2 linked regions of the Tamandua tetradactyla genome follow. The main gene of each other region encodes a partner of the protein of the gene in region 2 in a complex. Links are inferred from orthologs where the notes say so. Each region holds a gene or a part of one and is shown on either strand. Other genes may lie near its edges. The genes, in order: PRDX1 and SIRT5.

Region 1 (8,867 bases), on a different chromosome or scaffold from region 2:
AATAATAATAAAAGTACTCAGCAAAAGCTGAATTGCTGGGTTCTCCTCTGTTGCCAGGAGATTAAGGGACCAACAAGAGAAGTCAGAGCCTTTGCATTTCCTTCCAAGATGAACCACAGTGATGGGAAGGGTAAGGACCTGAATCACCACCACAAACTTCTTTCCTTACAAGCCTGACAGCACTAACTCTTATAAGACTAAAGTTCTAAAACTCCTGGTAGGTAACAGGACCTCTAATTGGAATTTTATTGAAGTCCTTTAGACTACCAATTGAAGCAGATCTTCAAACTTGCCAGCAGCCTCTCACCACACCTGATGGACTGAGCTTTTGGAGCAACTCAATTCACCTATTCACTTATTTCCAGGTAGCAGCACTGTTTGGAAGTCAAAATAGGAGGCCTTTTTTGACATTCACTTTGAAAAGTAAAATCACTACAAACTGACTCATCTAAGCAACCCCTCCAGGGCTCCGCCTAACAAGCACTTTGAAGCCAGGGAAGACTGAGCCCTGAAAAGCAGAGAACAGCTCCTCCTAGACTTCATGCCTATACTCATGGGACAGTGTCACCTCCCTCTAGTGCTACTTAGCTTGTTTGCCAAGAGGAGCTTCCCTCCACAGAACTCTACTTACCTGCTCTCATAACAACCAACAAGTATGATGTATTAGGAAACCTAGTAGCATATTCTACCCAAAAGATGATTTCAGGACTTGACACTATACCACTAAAAAAGGTACACATGATAACTGAGTTTCAGGTTTGCATTCTAACTAATCTATACTTTCAATTATCCCAGGAGACTTGGATGCTCTGGGACTGCACGACAATGAAATGGAAAACCTCTTTCGAGTTTGCCAAATGTCTGCATGAAACTATGACAACAGAAAGGGAAACTGTTCTGTGACATCGGCTTTTCTTTTGGTGGCAAAATAGTGAAGGGATTGGTCCTCAGCCCTCTGCCTAATAATGTAGCAGCTGTGACACACATTTTACAATCACTACTGAACAAGTAGTATCACAGCTTCATAGACTTAAAGGTCCAGATGCAATCAAATTTAAAATGTGGAAAGCCTCTTATAATGAGTTAATAATGATAATTTTTCCCCAATTACACAATTAAGAAAGAGTAACTAAGAAATCAAATTGAGCTAATATGTGATACATAATGAAGCATGTGCTTTCTCCAGCAGATGCCTAGACCTAGGATAGTTACCCTGTGATCACTGTTTATCATGTGATCATCACTTCACTTAAGCACCTTGACCTAGGAGATACAAAGTATTTTACAACTGAGTATAACAGAGATACAGAAATCCAACTAGCCATCCCTAAATTATAAAATAATTCCATTTTAATAAGTCCAATGTAACTACTCTTACCTTTGTAATCAGAGAGGCTGATATCTTTGAACTGACCATCTGGCATAACAGCTGTGGCTTTGAAGTTGGGGGCAGGGTGCCCAATTTTGGCAGTTCCTGAAGACATCTTGCTATCAGCTGCAAAAGACAAATTAGAGAAAATGGATTAATCAGAAACAAACTTAAACCAGCAGCCTTCATTTACTTAGGGATTTAGCTGCAGAAAAAGCAAGGAATTATCCACTGGCTCTAGATACATGCACTAATTGTTTGTTTTTCTCTTTTAAAGAACAAACCAGCAGCCAGGGGACACAATGGAAGGACCAGAATCTGAGCTTTCCGCTTTTGGAACAAACCAGTTATTACAAGTCTGAATCTCAGTCTTTGTTTTCACTTAAAACAATAATTTTTTTATAGGTTGACGTCACCCCTATCACTTTTTCTGAACCATCAATTTATGAAATGGCATTTCTTCTGCATTACTGAACAGAAGCAAAGAAAAGGAAGTGCAGACCCTCAAACCAGAATCTATATGGACAATGGCACACTGAATGTCTAACGTGGTCATATTACCCTTTCTCCAGAATTTGCCTCCACGTGCCTTCATAAAGCGTGAAGCCCGAATGAACTGTTTCCTAGGCCAGTGTGTCAAATCCACACCTTAAAGCCAACCTGACTTTTTAAGAGGCAAGACCAGGATTTTGGTCTTGTCTTCTGTTTAGCCCTAGAAGTCCTTTCAAAAGTGGGTTTCTGACCTCAAGGCCAAAATCATGGGGGGAAAGTAAGTAGAGCAAAAACCAGTTCACTGATAAAAAACAATGTTGCACTAGACTTACCCAGGTCAACACCAAGATAATGAGGATAAGCTTCAACCCAGCAAATTATCTGTTTGAAAGTCCCAAGACCCTATTTTTCCAGTAGGTCCTGAAGCTCTTGGTTCATAATAAGAGAGCCAAAAGAAACTAGGTAAGAACGCCGAGGATCGACCATGGGACACTTGTTACTGCCTGTTTTTTCTTTTGTTTTTTTAATCTTGTAACACCCTTTCAAAGAAACAGTAAGGCTCGCTGCAAATAGGAAACCAAACTACGGGGTGTGACCCTAACAAATATAGCCTCATCCAAACCTACTTTTGAAGGTGCGCCCCCACCACCCCACCCCCAGCCGAAGGGTAAAGGCTGCTCGACTTCCCACCGGTGCAGCCCCCTCAGGGGATCTGCCCAATAACTTAGGCCAGGGCCACACCCCTAAATCCACTTCGGAAAGCTCCAGCATAAGAGTGCGCAGTCTTCAGCGACAGCATGTGGAATTATCTAAAACACATCTCACTCTGCAGATGGGAACATGATGAACGAAAAGGGATGCAAGGTACTCAAGGCTCCACAGCCAAGTCACAGCTCAGAGCAGGAAATGGCGTTTACCCTACCACACGACCAACAAGAAAAGGCAGCCCTCTGCAGCCACAGGTTAGGTTCCAGGTTCATTCTAGAAGATTCCCGAACCCGCCCCGCCCCTCGGGAGGCCAGTCGAGGAGAGCTGCCCCACTACACACCCCGCCCCTCCAAGCCAACCAGCGCCCCCAGTTCGGAATAAGCGAATACTGGAGCCGGCGAAAGTCTCCATCTTCAACCAACCCTCGAGGGGGGGGCCCACGTGGGAGGTGCGCATGTCGCCCGAGGATCGTAGGACGCCAGGCTCTCCCCCGGCCGCCTAAACCACCACAACACCTCCAGAGGAGCCCGTGCAAGCCCCAAGGAGAAGGGGAGGCGGCGGCGGGGGTGGGGTGGGGTGGGGGGGGTGAGTGACGCTCGGCCCCACCGAGGACGCGGTGGACTTACTCACCAAATACCCAAAGAAAGCTACGCAGAACAGCCGGGAAGAGGACGCGCAAAGTCCGCGCGGGGCGCTGTCTATATAACTTGTGAGGCTCTCGCGAGAGTCGAAACGGGTCGGGGGTGCGAGAAGAGGAGATAAGGAGGGGGTTTCTGCCCTGCGCCCCGCCCCCCACCCCCACCCCGCTAGAATGACTCAGCATTTTCCTTGCCGGGGGCGGTGTGAGCGCGGAAACCATCAATCACCTTTTCCCGCCGTTTATTGTTGATGTGCGAGAGCGTGGTCTTTTCTCGTCCGCCCGGAACCCAAAAGCCTTCGTTAAATTTAGGATGTCTGCGGGGCGGGAATAGGGAGGTAGGTGCAATTCCCTTGCTTCTGGAACCCCGGCGCGCTGTGCCCTCAGGGCCCAAACCTGGTTAAAAGTCCTCGCTGCTGCCACGGAGGACCAAGGCAGTTCCTCACCAAGCCCGGAGAACATTAACTAAATGTTTTTCAAATCCGTCTCGGTCCCCGAAGCTTCTGCCAGATTCCTCACCGTTGTTAACTTTTGAGACACCCTCCTTCGTCGTTCACCCAGATCACAGGCTTGCTGCTTTCCATCTCCCATGCATCCCTTACTCTGCGGCTGGAAGGAATCTTTGTGAAATCTGATCATGTCACTCTTCTGACTTGTGGTTAAAAAAACTGGGGCTCTGTAGTCAGTTCCTTGAATTAAAGCTACTATCGTTTTGTGTGACCTTGGGGTAGGATTCTTAATTCTGCTAACCCTCACTTTTTCTGACCTGCAAAATTGGGAGTAATATTAATATTTCATGGTATTGTTGTGAAGATTAACTGATATTAGCTATCTGCGTAAATTACTTATCACCGTACCTAGCTCTTAGTATACATTAGAAACGTTAGCTATTATTTATTATTACTCTCTTAGTCCTCCTGAATTATAATTCTGAACGATGTGAACTGTTGCAACCCTTTAGAATTTTGTTCAAGCCTGAAGAGCCTGTTGCTTCCTAACTGGCCCAGAGAAAAAGTCTTTCAAGACTTAGCTCAAGTTTTACCTTCTCTGAAGCTGTTCCTAAACTTTGGTCGTCCCCAGAATTGATATTCCCTCCATTGTGCCCAAGCAATATAGTCCATGTATCAAAGGAGGGGGAAAAACCTTTTAAGCTGTTTTACTTGTTTACATAGCTTCCTTTTGCTTTTAGACTTTCTGGAGGATAGTGTACTTGGATCACATCCATTCTGTGTCCCCAGGTCACAACAATACCTGATAGAGGAACTCAGTCAGTCAGTGTTTAATAAATAATCTAGTGTCCCCTTTTCTGGGCTTCTACCCCTCCCCCATCTTATTAACTCCCTTGGAGTTATAGCGTGGATAAGAAATGGGAAGTGCTGTGTCATGCTGGCTGAGCATTTCCAATTTTTTTGGTATTTTTCATCCTACCTTGCAAAAGTAATGATTTTTGTAGTTACTTTTTCTTTCTCCAAGGCTGAGCAATTATTTGGCATTACTCATTTTCAGTGGTGGGGGGCCGTAGGGGAGGGAGTTGTTTTGGGCTTAATGCTGGATGTTTATTGCTATGATCAGACTAAACAAAAGCACACAGCCACACTTCAGCCAGAAGAAAATGACCATTTATTGTATTCACCATGCACCAGGCCATGGGCTGGGCCCTTGGGTTTATTTTGTTTCATTTAAGAAACAAAAGAGTGGGGTCCACAGGTACTTCAGTGGTAGAACTCTCACATGCCATACAGGAAACCTGGGTTCAATTCCTGGCCCTTGCACCTCCTTACCCCCCACCCCACCCCACCCCCATAAAAAGAGCCAAAAGGGTTATCTAGGCCCAAGGAAAGATCAACAACCCCTTGGTTATATAAAAAATTTAAATAGGAGGATAGTTCTGAGAAAAGAAAAAATCTGTTGCACACTTGTGTATGTATGTTTATGGAATCTCCTTCCCCAGATAATAGTAAAATTACCAAAATGGGGTAGAGGCTTTTCTCTTTTATCCTCCTACAGGACCTGATACATATCTGTAGCTCTATTTTGACACATATCTCATTATGTTGTCCTCGTTTGTTCACTAGTAGTCTGTCTGGGAAGGACTATTCCTGTTTTATTTGTCTTTGTAGTACCAGAACCTAGCCAGTAAATGGCATGGGAAAATTGCCTAATAAATATTAGAATGTACTGAAGATTTGGGGGATGTGGAATTAAATTATTTGAACTGTGTTTTAGGAAAATTGCTCTGGCAGCTGTGTGATGGGTGAACTTAATAATTAGGACATAAAGGCAAAGAGAACAGCTAAGAGGCTACTGCAAAGATTCAGACAAGAGAAGACTCAGAACCATCATAGGGTATTGGCAGCAGGGATGGAAAGCAGAGAAGATATACAAGGGTTATTTCTACAGGATTTAAGATAAGAAGAAGGGGTAGGTTAAATCCTAGGTTTCTTATCTTGGCAACATAATCAAGGGTGATGCCATTAACCAATGGGATAGGGGACATTGGAGGATACGCAGGTTCTAGGTTAAAAATAATGACAAACATTTATTGAGTACTACCTGTTTTGCAGATGAGGCACCTGATGCCTAAGAAATTTGGGAAATTGTACAAGGTCACAGCTAACATCCATTGAAGTCAGCTTCTAACCTGGGTAGCAGAACCATCGGGTTGCATAATATTCAAATGGAATATTTACATGAACTATAATGTAAAGGTGTCCCCTAGCATTGTGCCTCACAGCTCACAGTGGTCTAAACAGGTGGTATGATTCTGAAATCTACTCTTAAAGGAGAAGATAATCAGTTTAGTTTGAGGCAAACAGCATTTCAGATGCTTATAGGATATTCAGGTGGTGGTGTCCAGAGATTGTCATTGGAGATGTAGATTTGAGAATCAGCAAATCAACAGCACAGAAGTTGAGTTAACACATTCATTGTGCTTCTATTTAACACTCTGCTTTGTCATCAGACATCAAAGAAGAATAAGAATACTGATGTATGTTGAAGGAACTCTAAAAAGCTAGCTAGGGAGAGAGAGATCAGGGAAAGGGGTTCCAAGCTGAGAACAGAGCAGGATAGGAAACAGTATGTGTTTGGGGAACTACTGGTAGTTCAATATTAGTAGAATGCAAATGCCAAGGACTAGAACGTAGAGGAAAGAATGTGGGCAGAAACAGGTCACGATGCACCTCATAAACCAGACTGAGGAGTTTGGATTTTATATCAGGAGGTGTGGGTGATTAAAGAGTTTTGAATATAAGAATGTCCACATCAAGCTCTGTTACTGATCATTCTGGCAGCTGCATAGAGAATAGATTTAGAGGACCAAGAAGATATGGGACCAGTAAGCAGGCTGTTACCAGGACTAGGAGAAAAGAGGTAGAAAGTCTGAGTGAAGGCAGTGTGCCAAGTGTGGAAAGTTGGGATTAGGTGGCAAGAACTTTGCAAGAACTGCAGATTTTCCCAATTTGCAAGAACTGGGAATCATTTATAGGGAGTGAGTCCCAGGGGAACTGAATGAAGAGATGTGCAATTTACAGAAATGTGAAACAGATTTGGGGGAAGATGATAAAGACCCCACTTTGGGGCATGTTGAATTTGGGGTTCCATGAGGAAATGGCCAAGAAGACATGTCGGTTGGATATGTGGAAACTTAAGGAACCCTTCCTATTGTATTCATGTGACCCCTAATACTTAGAAGCGTGATTCCTGGCTCATGGTAAGTACAATAGGATTTGTTAAATAACGTAAAGAATTATATTGATTCTGACATCATAAATAATTATATTGATTCTGACAATATCAAGGATACTTGAAACTGTGAGAATAAATGAGGTCCCTGAGAAGTGGAAAGAAGTGATCCAAGACCAGAACCACAGAGAATTTCTATGGGTTGGGAGAAGGAACAAAAACAATCAAAGATCAAAGGAACAAAAACAGCTAAAAAAGAACAGCATTTTATGGCAAAGTGCCAGTCATGAAAATAAACTGTTTCTCCCAGGAATAATTACTGTTTCCTCTAGTAACCGCCATCATCATTGAAGTGTATTGCACCTGAAACAAGGTAACAAAAAAAAACTGTAGTTTGAAATTTACTAAATTTCCTATAAAATCTTTTAAATTAAAAAAAAAAAAAAAACTAATGAAGTTGTTGATTGATGAGGGACTTGGGTAGGGCTTTGTTAGGAAGAATTGCCTGAGGTGAGGGCAGCTACTGAGAAAATGTTTGCATAAATCCTGTTTTGCTCTATTTCTTAGAAGTGAGGCTTTTTAATAATTTTCTCTGCCCATTTCAAGCGACTATAACTTATTCACTGGGCAAAGCACTGGTTCCTAGCCCAGTTCTTCATAGAATTTAGCTCCCTCCATCTATTATCTTAAGGTAGTTTTCTCAAACAGGAGTAATGTGGTCCCTTGTAAAAAGAAAAACATTGTTGAGGACTTCTAATGTTGGTTTAATTGATTAAATTTAATTAACTTTCATTTTAATTTTTCATTCAAACCATTTATTCAATAGGTTGCCCCATGATACAATATGGAAAGTTATTTCCATGTTAATTGCTCCTGCCCTTACTACTGCTGAACTATTGCAGGATGAAATATATAAGATGAGATTTCTGCGAGCAAATACCTTCCATGAATACAGTGTAGCTCCTTTTGGATTCCACATACCTATATACTGCCTTCACCCTGTGATAATGACTCAATTCTCCTACCACTTTTCTCTGTTTAAGATTAGTGAAACCTTTATTCATACAATGTCCTTTGACATCATCTGGCTTTTGCTTAACAAAGCAGTTGTTACATCTTTGTGCTAATTTGCTGTGGTAGGTTACCTGACTCATCAACAGCCATTGTTCTTTCTTCCTATCAGAACAGATTAGCTAACAGGTAAAGCCATTCAATATGAGTATAAAAGTAGATGTCTCAGGATAGCTATGTATTATTTATTTGTTTGTTGTCAGTTTATTTTCGGGTTGGTCAAAATGTTTGCCTTTATTTGTAGCATCTTCATGCAAAATTATTTGGTTTAGCTCTCAACAGCCCACTTCTTGAGCTCTGAGGAAGCTTGCCTTCTTGAGTACCCAGTCTTTCATCCCAGCAAGAGACATTTGGGGGCAATTCCATCTCTTCTTTTTAACCTCCTTATGGTTTTTCTCATAGACTGGATTCTCTTTCTTTTAAATAATTTTGTCTTTAATAACCCAACAGTGATTCACAAGATGAATCACTGCCCATTATAAGAGATGCTAACATGGTTGTTAACTGCATGATCAGAGGCAGTGCAACTGGATTCCAGAGAGCAAGGATGGTAAAGCAGGGCTTCAGGTCTCACAGATTGAAAAGTTTGTTTAAGGAAAGATTTTGAGGGCATAGCAAGCAACTAAAGAAACATGAAATGTGAGGGACCCTCAGAAGACAGGCAGTGTTTGCTGGGTCATGAGCACCTTGAAGCGCTTCTTGATGGTGATTCGGTGTCACTAGTATTTGTCATCTGGGGAGAACAGGCAGGGTGGACTGAACAGGCTTGTTGCCCCATAAACTCAATCTTCAGGGTTTAGACACTGTCCCCCTGCTTGTTGAGGTGATACTAGAGAAACACTTCAGCCAGAGACTCCAATTCTGTCTGCAGTCACTTCATTTTGCAGCTGCCTCTGGATTCGTATA
Region 2 (9,020 bases):
GAGTCCCCCTCTGCCAAATAAAAGGAAGAACATTCTTTGGAACAGTTGTCAAAGTGCAAGGAGTGATTCCTACCTCCTCATGGAAAAGAAATGGGGTGCTCTTCCCCTCCTCTCAAGTGAGGTGGGCTTCAAGACCACCACCCAGAGAGCAGGAACTGTGTGTGCTGGAGCTGGAGGGACTCGGGGACCGGTGTCTGGTAGGTGCTTGTAAAAGGCCAAAGGTGACAGGATGGCTGGAAGGGCTTGTGGGAGCAGAGCACAGGGTCAGGGTTGTGTTGGGAAGGCCTGCATTTCCAGAGTTTGGCAGGAAAGGATGCACGCAGGTTTTCCATGGGCCTCCGTGGTGCTGTGCAAGGGGAGTTGGCGATTCTTTTGCCTTGGGAAAGACCCTACCAGGAAAGCTGTTCTTTTGGTTGCAGGAGTTTCAAACATACCAAGATGCAGAAACTGAGGAGGTTTCCATTCTGTCACAGGAGCTATGGTTAAAAGACCCCATCCCCTCATAAAATGACAAGAGTCAGTCTTTGGAGCCTGGTAAGAATTTGAACCTTACCTTTCAAGTATCCAGAAGAATAAGGAGCAAGATAGAAGAAACTCAGAGGAAAAATGTCCTCAAGCAAGGAACTTTGCCACTTAACTCTTTCCTCCCTTTACCCAATTGTGGACAATCTTCCATTCAGTGGTTAACACCAGTGAGGATAGAGAACTGTAGGTACTTGGTGGGGAGGGGAGGGGTATGCAAATGGAAAGCTTTGTCTGCTGGTCAGGGTGGAAGTGAAAAGATCCAATTGGGAAAAATGTCTTTGAGTGGTACCATGTTATTCTTCCATTTAATATCTTCAAAAAGATAAACTATAACCAACAAAACAAATGACATCATACTGGATACTATAAACATAAATGTCAGGGATTGAATCAAATCCCCCACAAAAGAGGTGCTCAAGTCTGAATCCACATACCTGTGAGTGTGTGCTGGTTTGGAGCTGTTATGTGCCCTACAAAAGGCCATGTTGTTTTAATCCATTCTTGTGGGTGTAGACCTGTTGTGGGTGGGACCATTTGATTAGGTGGTTTCAACTGAGATGTGACCCACCCCTTTCAAGGTGGCTCTTAATCCTTTACTAGAGTCCTTTATGAGAGGATAAAAGACAGAAAAGGCCCAGAGAGCTTAGAGAGAAAAGCCCCGGAGATGCTAAAAGAGGACCCACAGAAACTCAGAAGGCCATCAGAGTCAGGAGCTGAACACAATGAAACTCGGAGCAAAAGACCAGCTGGCCATATTCCTTCCGATGTGACAGAGAAACCCTGGATGCCAGCAGCCTTTCTTCAGAGACGGTATCTTCCTCTTGATGCCTTAATTTGGACATTTTCATGGCCTAAGAACTGTAAATTTGTAAGTTAATAAATCCCCATTGTTAAAGCCAGTCTGTTTCTGTATATTGCATTTCTGCAGCTTTAGCAAAACAGGGTGTCAACCCATTGTGAAAAAAGGAAATTCAGATGCAGTGAGCCAGGGGAAGCCAGAGGAAGCAACCTGAAGTCAGAATAAGCCAGAGAAGAGAGAGAGCATGCCATATGGCTGAGTATTGCCAGCATTAGAACACTGCTAACCCTAGGAAGGACATGGCCTGGCATTGTCTTTTTTTTAAAATTTTATTCACACTATATAATCCATCCTAAGTGTATACTCAGTGTTATATGTGTATAATCAAGTGTATAATCACAGTTATGTATTTATCAGTACAATCAATATGAGAACATTCCCATTTTTTCCAAGAAAACAAACAAAACAATCCCATACCCCTTCCCTTATATTCCCCTATTATTTAAAAAATATTTTTATTGAGAAATATCCACACACATACAGTCCAACAATATATACAATCAATGGCTCACAGTATCATCATAGACTTGTGTATTCTTCACCATGATCCTTTTTAGAACATTTGCATCACTCCTGGCCTGGCATTATCTTGATTTTGGATTTCTAGCCTTCAAAACCATGAGACAAATGCTTGCAGTTTAAACCAACCCATGGTATAGTATTTTTCATAGCAGCTCTGGTAAACTGAGACAATGAGAATGGAAGGTCAGGGCTCTTGGACATTAAATGCATGGGCACCAGTCCCTCACAACCATCCAACTACTGAGAGGCGAGGTGGCTCCTGGTCCAGACTCTGATGCAGCTGCTTCTTCACATCCTCCTTTTCCTCCCAGAGCGTGCAAACACCTGCAATCTTTATTTTCCTATCCACCGCCACTAAGTTCGGTTATCCATGCCTATTTTATGTAAGTACGTGCTGAGCACATTGGTGCTGTGTGTAGCAGGTCTGGAGGAATAGTCTGGGTATGTATTATATGCAAACGTACTGATCCGCCAACAGAGGTTCGAGCACAACCATCCCTCGATAGTGTGTGCCAGAACCCATCTTACGGCAGGTCTCATTCCTGGGGTTGACCAGCCCTCAGGCCTCCCTTGGGAGCCTAGGGAATCTGAGAAGGTGTGCTGAGAGAGCCTTGCTATCTTGCTGTTCTCCTGTGATGGATGGGTGTGGGAGGAGCAGGGTATCTTCATATGGAAAGATGAAGCCGGGACACAGAATCTAACGGAGCTGGGATTTTTGCACAATTTCTAAATTGTCTCTTGTAGTTTTGCCATCTAGATGTTGATTTTCTTTTCTGTTCTTCCTTTGTGTTAGGCAAAAACTCTTAGAAAGTTTCAACCTTCTTGCTCCCTATGTGTCAAAATAAATCAGACAGTAAAAGACACCAAGCATGGTGCTTATGTCCATTTTTATATTTACACTAGAGGTCTATATTTGCACTAGAGTCCACCCCTGAGGGGAAGCATGGTAACCCATTAAGCCAGTGACCCAAAGAGAATGTAAAACTAAGGATGGGGGGTGGATGGGATGGGGATTCTCTTTGCAGAAATAAAGCTTGGCCCGTCTGAACTTCATTAAAAGGAGGTAATTCTACCTTCCAATTTACATGCCTCAAACTGTTATAGCACCTACTGTTATATCCCAGGAAAACCTTTATAGAATGAATTATCCATAAACTGTTTTCTTTGTTTATTATTTATTGTTGTGGGCTCATAAGTAAAAAAATAAAAATAAAAAAGATAAATCGCCTATTCATTTTAGTAAACATAACCAAATCATTATCCTCTAAGTTCTGGGTGTCTTCTCCTGTGAAGCTGTTCATTTATTCATTCATTCATTTAATACATTCTTACTAACTGAGCCATCTACTGTATGGATTGTGAGGAGCTGAGAATATGATAGTAAATAAAAAGGCACAAGAAGTTCTCCTTAAGGGATCTTACAACCTGGGGTGTGTATGGGGAACACGTAATCAGAGAAATACATTTGAAATCTCGACTAGGAAAACTGCTACGGTGCTGTACAAGTCTATACCAGCGGTGAGAGAGTTTACTTAGTGGAGGGGTGCGTGTGGCTTTCTGAGGAAGTGACCATTGAGCGGAGACTGGAAGGGTAAGAGAAGGGAGTGGGAAAAGAGCATTTGGGGAGAGGGAGAGGTTATTTCAGGGCTGAAACCTTTGTTTTGAAAACGCAAGGCCATCAAGAAATTAAGCTGCAATTGCTTGAAAGATGGAAAGGCTGGGGGCTGATGCTTCAAGAAGAGAAAATAGCCTGACACCGCTGGGGAGAATTGGCTCTTGCAAGCCTGGGAGAAGGGATGGGGTGGAATCATGGTGTGATGACTGGGTGGTGGACTCCTAGACTACGACAGAATGTCTCAGAGACGGCAGGGCTTATGAGTAAACAGGGCTACTATTTAGTCTTGTGGACTATGGAAGGCTGCAATGAAAGGTGCTGGCTAGTATGTGATTAGGCTAAGGGATGAACACTTGATGGCCAATAACATAAGCAAAGAAAGCAATGGAACAACACTTTAATGAAAGGCAATATACGTGCTGGCTTGGACCCTTATGGCTGGTGCTGAAACACTCGGGCTCTAATCCCAGCTTAACTCCTTAATAGCTTTGTGATTTAGGCAGGACTTGATCTCTTTAGGCTTCAGTGTCCCGGCCTGTAAACGGAGATAACAGTAACTACTTCATAAGGTAGTAGGGGAGATTTAAATGGCTTAATACATGTCAAGTTCTTAGAATAGTGTCTAACACAGAGTAAGCACCTGTATGTATAAGGGAAAATAGCCAGATATGATAGTGCCACCAATATCCTTAGTCTCTGGGGCGCTGGTACAACCTAGAGGAGCGAACGGAGTCCCAAAGCGGGTTGGGTTTCCAGCCAAACTGCTGCAAATGTTGAGGTTACAGTTAGGGAAAAAAAGTTAATGTAATATTGTTGGCACCCTAATTTCTGGACACTTCCCCTTTTGGTCCATTGGTGGGCCCAAAGCAATTACAGGAAAAATAGTGTTGGCGGTAGACCTGCACCAAAGGAAAGGGGACCGACTTTTCAAGGGGACCCAGACACGTGGAGCTTCATTAGGTTAGAGAGGTCTGCTGGGCTAGCCTGGAAACCTTACTTACCACCCTTTGAAACAGCTCTACGGGGGGGGGGGGGGAAATGAGGGGGAATAACCCCAACATTTGAAATGCTTTGTCCGGAGTTGAGTGTGATCTAGTCGCTAGCTTGAGGAGGAAACGGAGCAATTCGTAATTCACGACATCCGCGGGAAGCGGTGGTGAGAAGGGAAACCTGGGAGCTCTCAAAGACAAAGCGAGAAACGGCTCACCCCACCCCTCCCGTCCCCCAAAGAAAGAAAGAAAACTGATCTTTCAATAAAACGGGACGGGAATCGCTCCCGCGGCTTGCGGGCCCAGACACGGTCTGGGTCGCCGGTAGGGGCCGCTGCAGCCGAGGGCGGCGGGCTGGGTGCGCTCCGCCCCGCGGCCCCCGCCTGGCCCTCCGGGCTCGGGCCCGCCATTGCCGCCTCACGCAGGTGCGTCTCCGCGTGGGTCCCTGGCCGCGGGTCCCAGCCCGCCGCGAGCTTCGGCAGGCTGCGTGTTTCCTCACTCCATGCAGGCCGCTGGGCTCGGAGGGTCGTGGCTGCCCGCGCAGACCTCCGGGGTGGGCCCTCCGCTCGGTCCCGCCGGCAGGGCCCGGAAGGGGCCAGAGGCGGCGGGCGGCCCAGAGGCGCGGGAGGGGAGGCCGCCGAGCCGGCGGGGCTGGGGGACAGGAAGCGAGCTGAGACCGTAGCAGGGCCCGAGCAGGGGGGCGTGGGGGGCTGCTGGGTCAGGGGAGCCCGGGGAGCGCCGAGCAGAGGCTGCCCTTTGAGGGGAGCCCCTCTGGCCCCTGCAGCAGCCCGGGCCGCTGGAGAGGGCGGCGGGGGAGAGGGGGCGGGCCCGGGCCGCGGTGTGGAGGGGGAGCATGTGCCGTGAGCCGAGGTCAGGGCGAGGCTGGGGTGCAGTGGGGCAGCTGGGGCGTGCAGTAGCGGCCTGCCCGGCGATGGAGGGGGCATGCGGAGAAGGCGGCGGGCGTGGCCGCGTGGAGCCCTGGGCGCCCTGGAGGAGGGGCCACGGCGTGCGGGCCTCAGGTGGGAAGAGCGCAGGGACCGAGGGGAGGGCGGGATGAACCAGCCGAGGACGCGAGAAGGAGCAGCCAGGGAGGTAGGTGGAAAGCCGGGAGAGGCTGGAGCCTGGCAGCCAGGGGAAGCGAGTGTTCCCGGAGGAGGGACCAACTGGGTCACAGGCTGTTCATGACCAAGTCGGAGGCTGGAAATGGACCACTGGGTTTAGTAACGTAGAGGTCGCTGGTGACCTTGACCAAGGCAGGTAGGGGGGCCGGGGGAGGGAGTGAAGTCAGTTCCTGAGGGTAGACACCTGGGGCTGGTGCCAAGCGCTGCATTCCGCTCATAGGTGTGCAAAATGTATCTGTTGAATACCTGTGAGTTGTGTAAGTTTTTGCATTTCCTTTACAATATAATTACCATGTAGTTTAAGTTAATGTTCTCTGGAAAATTTTTCTCAAATTCCTGACATGATCTTTGATTTACTGTTTTTTTGTTTTGCTTTGTTTTCAGAATTAGAGTGGCCCTTTTTTCCCACACAGGGAGCATACAGGCTTTTTTCTTCTAATTTGGAAGGTGAGGTTCAGGTGTGTAAGAAAACCTCGTTAAAAAGGGGACTGCCCTTAAGACAGAGGAGTCAGTTTACAGGTGCCTGTCCAGCATCCAGAAAGTTCCCAATGACAGTGAATGAGTTTATTTCCTCCCTAGAAGCGTCTTTTCTTACCCTGAGTATAAAATCAAGGCAGAGGGCAGTTTGATGGTGGCTCAGAAGCAGAATTCTTGCCTTCCATTCTGGAGACCCGGGTTGGGTTCCCGGTGTCTGCCCATGCAAAAAGAAATCAAGGCAGAGTAACTGGTGACTTTACCCAGGCACTTAAAGATATATATATAATTGACACATCTTCATACATATATAGTCCATATGTGGTGAAAAATCAGTGGCTCACAGTATCATCACATAGTTGTGTATTCATCACTGTTCTAGTTTGCTAGCTGCCGGAATGCAACACATCGGAGATGGATTGACTTTTAATAAAAGGGGATTTATTTAGTTAGTTCTTCAGAGAAAAGGCAGCTAACTTTCAACTGATGTTCGTTCTTACGTGGGAATGCACAGGGTGATCTCTGCTGGCCTTCTCTCCAGGCCTCTGGGTTCCAACAACTTTCCCTGGGGTGATTTCTTTCTGCATCTCCAAAGGCCTGGGCTGAGCTGGTTGGCCTGTGCTGTGTTGAGCTCTCTCATTTAAGCACCAGCCAGTTAAGTCAAACATCCTTCATTGCAGCAGGCATGCCTCCTAGCCGACTGCCGATGTAATCAGCTGCAGATGAGGTTCACGTACCATTGGCTCATGTGCACAGCACCAGAACTAGGTGACAACTGAATCTAACTACCACAATCACCAAGATAATTTTTCAGCACATATGCATCGTTCCAGTAAAAGAAATAAAAGGAAAAAACTCATACATCCCATACCCCTTACCCCTCCCTCTCATTCACTAGTGTATTTGTATCTACCCAGTTTATTTTACCCCTTATCGCCCCTATTATTTATTTTTATCCATATATATTTATTCATCTGTCCATACCCTTGATAAAAGGAGCATCAGACATAAGGTTTCTCACAATCACACAGTCACATTGTAAAGGCTGTATAGTTATACGATTGCCCTCGAGAATCAGAGCTGTTGGAACCCAGCTCCATGGTTTCAGGTACTTCCCTCCAGCCACTTCAATACACCATAAACTATAAAAAGAGTTATCTATGTAATGCATAAGAATAGCCCCCAAGGTAAACTCTCCACTCTGTTTGAAATCTCTCAACCTCTGAAACTTTATTTTGTCTCATTTCTCTCTTCCCCCATTTGGTCAAGAAGGCTTTCTCAATCCCATCATGCCAGGTCCCGGCTCGTCCTGAGAATTCTGTCCTATGATGCCAGACCCCTAGGAGTCATGTCCCATGTAATGGGGAGGGTAGTGAGTTTATCTCTCGAGTTGACTTAGAGAGGGAGAGGTCCAGGGCTCTTTTCACCCCTGAGGACTCCTGGATTAGATAATCTGAGTTTCCAGTTTCTCAGTGTCCTGCCTTCCCTCCTAGTCCAGCATTTGCTTTTAGACTCCAACGGGGTTGTAAGCGTGCAGAAGAAGGTAGAACTACCTTTTACATATTTATGTGCATAAGTATTTATGTAATCACATATAGTGTGTATGTAATTAGACATTACAATTCACGTAAGATGAGAACTAAAGTTATCTTCCCCCAAAGTACTTCTTGATTGTATTTCCTAGGCAAAGAATTTAGAATCTAGTGGTTTCTGGAAATATTGAAACATTAATAAGTAAAATTTTATTCTATTTTATTACTTTGAGTACAAGTGTTATGATGAAAGTAATTATTACGTACTAATGAAAACTCTTAAATAGAAAAACCCAGGTGACAAACTAGGAACATTTTACCCAGATAATACAACTCCTGATTTTGCCAAGTAAAAATCCCAATATATGTTCCAATTTTTTATGTCCCAAAATGTCCTTCTAAAAAATGTGTGTATGTATGTGTGTGTGCATATATATTATGTAATTAAAGCAGTTGTAGGTTTACAAAAGAATCGCCCAGAAAGTATAAACTTCTAAAATATGCCCCATATGCAATTTTTCCTATTCCTATTTTGCATTAGTGTGATACCTTTGTTACAACTGATGAAGCAGTGCTATTTAATTGTTTACCTTAGGGCATACTCTTTGTGTTATGAAATTCTGTGGTTTTTTTTTTTTTTTTAATTTATGATGGTAAACTTAAAATTGCCCATTGTAACCACTTTCAGCTGTACAATTCAGTGGTGTTAATGACATTCACAGTATTGGACAATGGTTACTATCATCCATTGCCAAAACGTTTCCATTATGCCAAACAGAAACTCTGTATCAATTAAGCATTCACTCCCTCTTCCTGCGCCTGGTAACCTGTATTCTAATTTTTGAGTCTATGAATTTGGATATTCTAGTTATTTTATATGAGCTAGATCATATGTTTTTCCTTTTGTGTTTAGCTTATTTCACTCAATGTGAAGTCTTCAGGGTTCATCCACATCGTAGGATGTACCAGAAGTCATTTCTTTTTACAGGTGAAAGTATTCCATTATATATATATTGTACCACATTTTGTTCATTCATCTGTCAATGAGCATTTGAGTTGCTGCTACCTTTTGGCTATTGTGAATAATGCCATTACGCATATTGGGTGCAAATGTATGTGTTTGAGTCCCAGCTTTCAGTTCTTTTGGGGTATATATCTAGAAGTGAGATTGCTCATATGATAATTCTATTTTTAACATTCTGAAGAACCACCAAACTTTTCCACAGTGGCTGAATCATTTTACCTTCTCACCAGCAGTGTAAGAGGGTTTCTATTTCTTCACATCCTCACCAACATTTATTTTCCATTTTATTTTTTGAATAGCCATTCTAGTTGGTGTGAAGTAGTATCTCATTGTGGTTTTAATTTGCATTTCCCTGATGG

The links.
Region 1: the proteins of SIRT5 (region 2) and PRDX1 are in contact, whole or in part, in a crystal structure (PDB 8Z54), measured with the Homo sapiens proteins. The link is inferred for Tamandua tetradactyla from reciprocal best matches to the Homo sapiens genes SIRT5 and PRDX1. Residues at the interface, in NP_001363727.1 of Homo sapiens: Ala86, Tyr102, Arg105, Gln140, Ile142, His158, Val220, Val221, Trp222, Phe223, Gly224, Glu225, Asn226, Leu227, Leu232, Val253, Val254, Tyr255, Pro256; in NP_001189360.1 of Homo sapiens: Phe195, Ser196, Lys197, Gln198.

What each region holds. Positions count from the first base shown.
Region 1 is NC_135328.1:177,773,068-177,781,934, reverse strand, and holds the start of PRDX1 (peroxiredoxin-1), read right to left. Parts: upstream 3,832-8,867; 5' UTR 3,726-3,831; intron 3,330-3,725; exon of another isoform or gene 3,200-3,329; intron 1,496-3,199; 5' UTR 1,485-1,495; coding exon 1,379-1,484; intron 1-1,378. UniProt on the Homo sapiens protein: Thiol-specific peroxidase that catalyzes the reduction of hydrogen peroxide and organic hydroperoxides to water and alcohols, respectively.
Region 2 is NC_135351.1:16,647,181-16,656,200, forward strand, and holds the start of SIRT5 (NAD-dependent protein deacylase sirtuin-5, mitochondrial), read left to right. Parts: upstream 1-5,431; 5' UTR 5,432-5,452; coding exon 5,453-5,529; intron 5,530-5,574; exon of another isoform or gene 5,575-5,602; intron 5,603-9,020. UniProt on the Homo sapiens protein: NAD-dependent lysine demalonylase, desuccinylase and deglutarylase that specifically removes malonyl, succinyl and glutaryl groups on target proteins.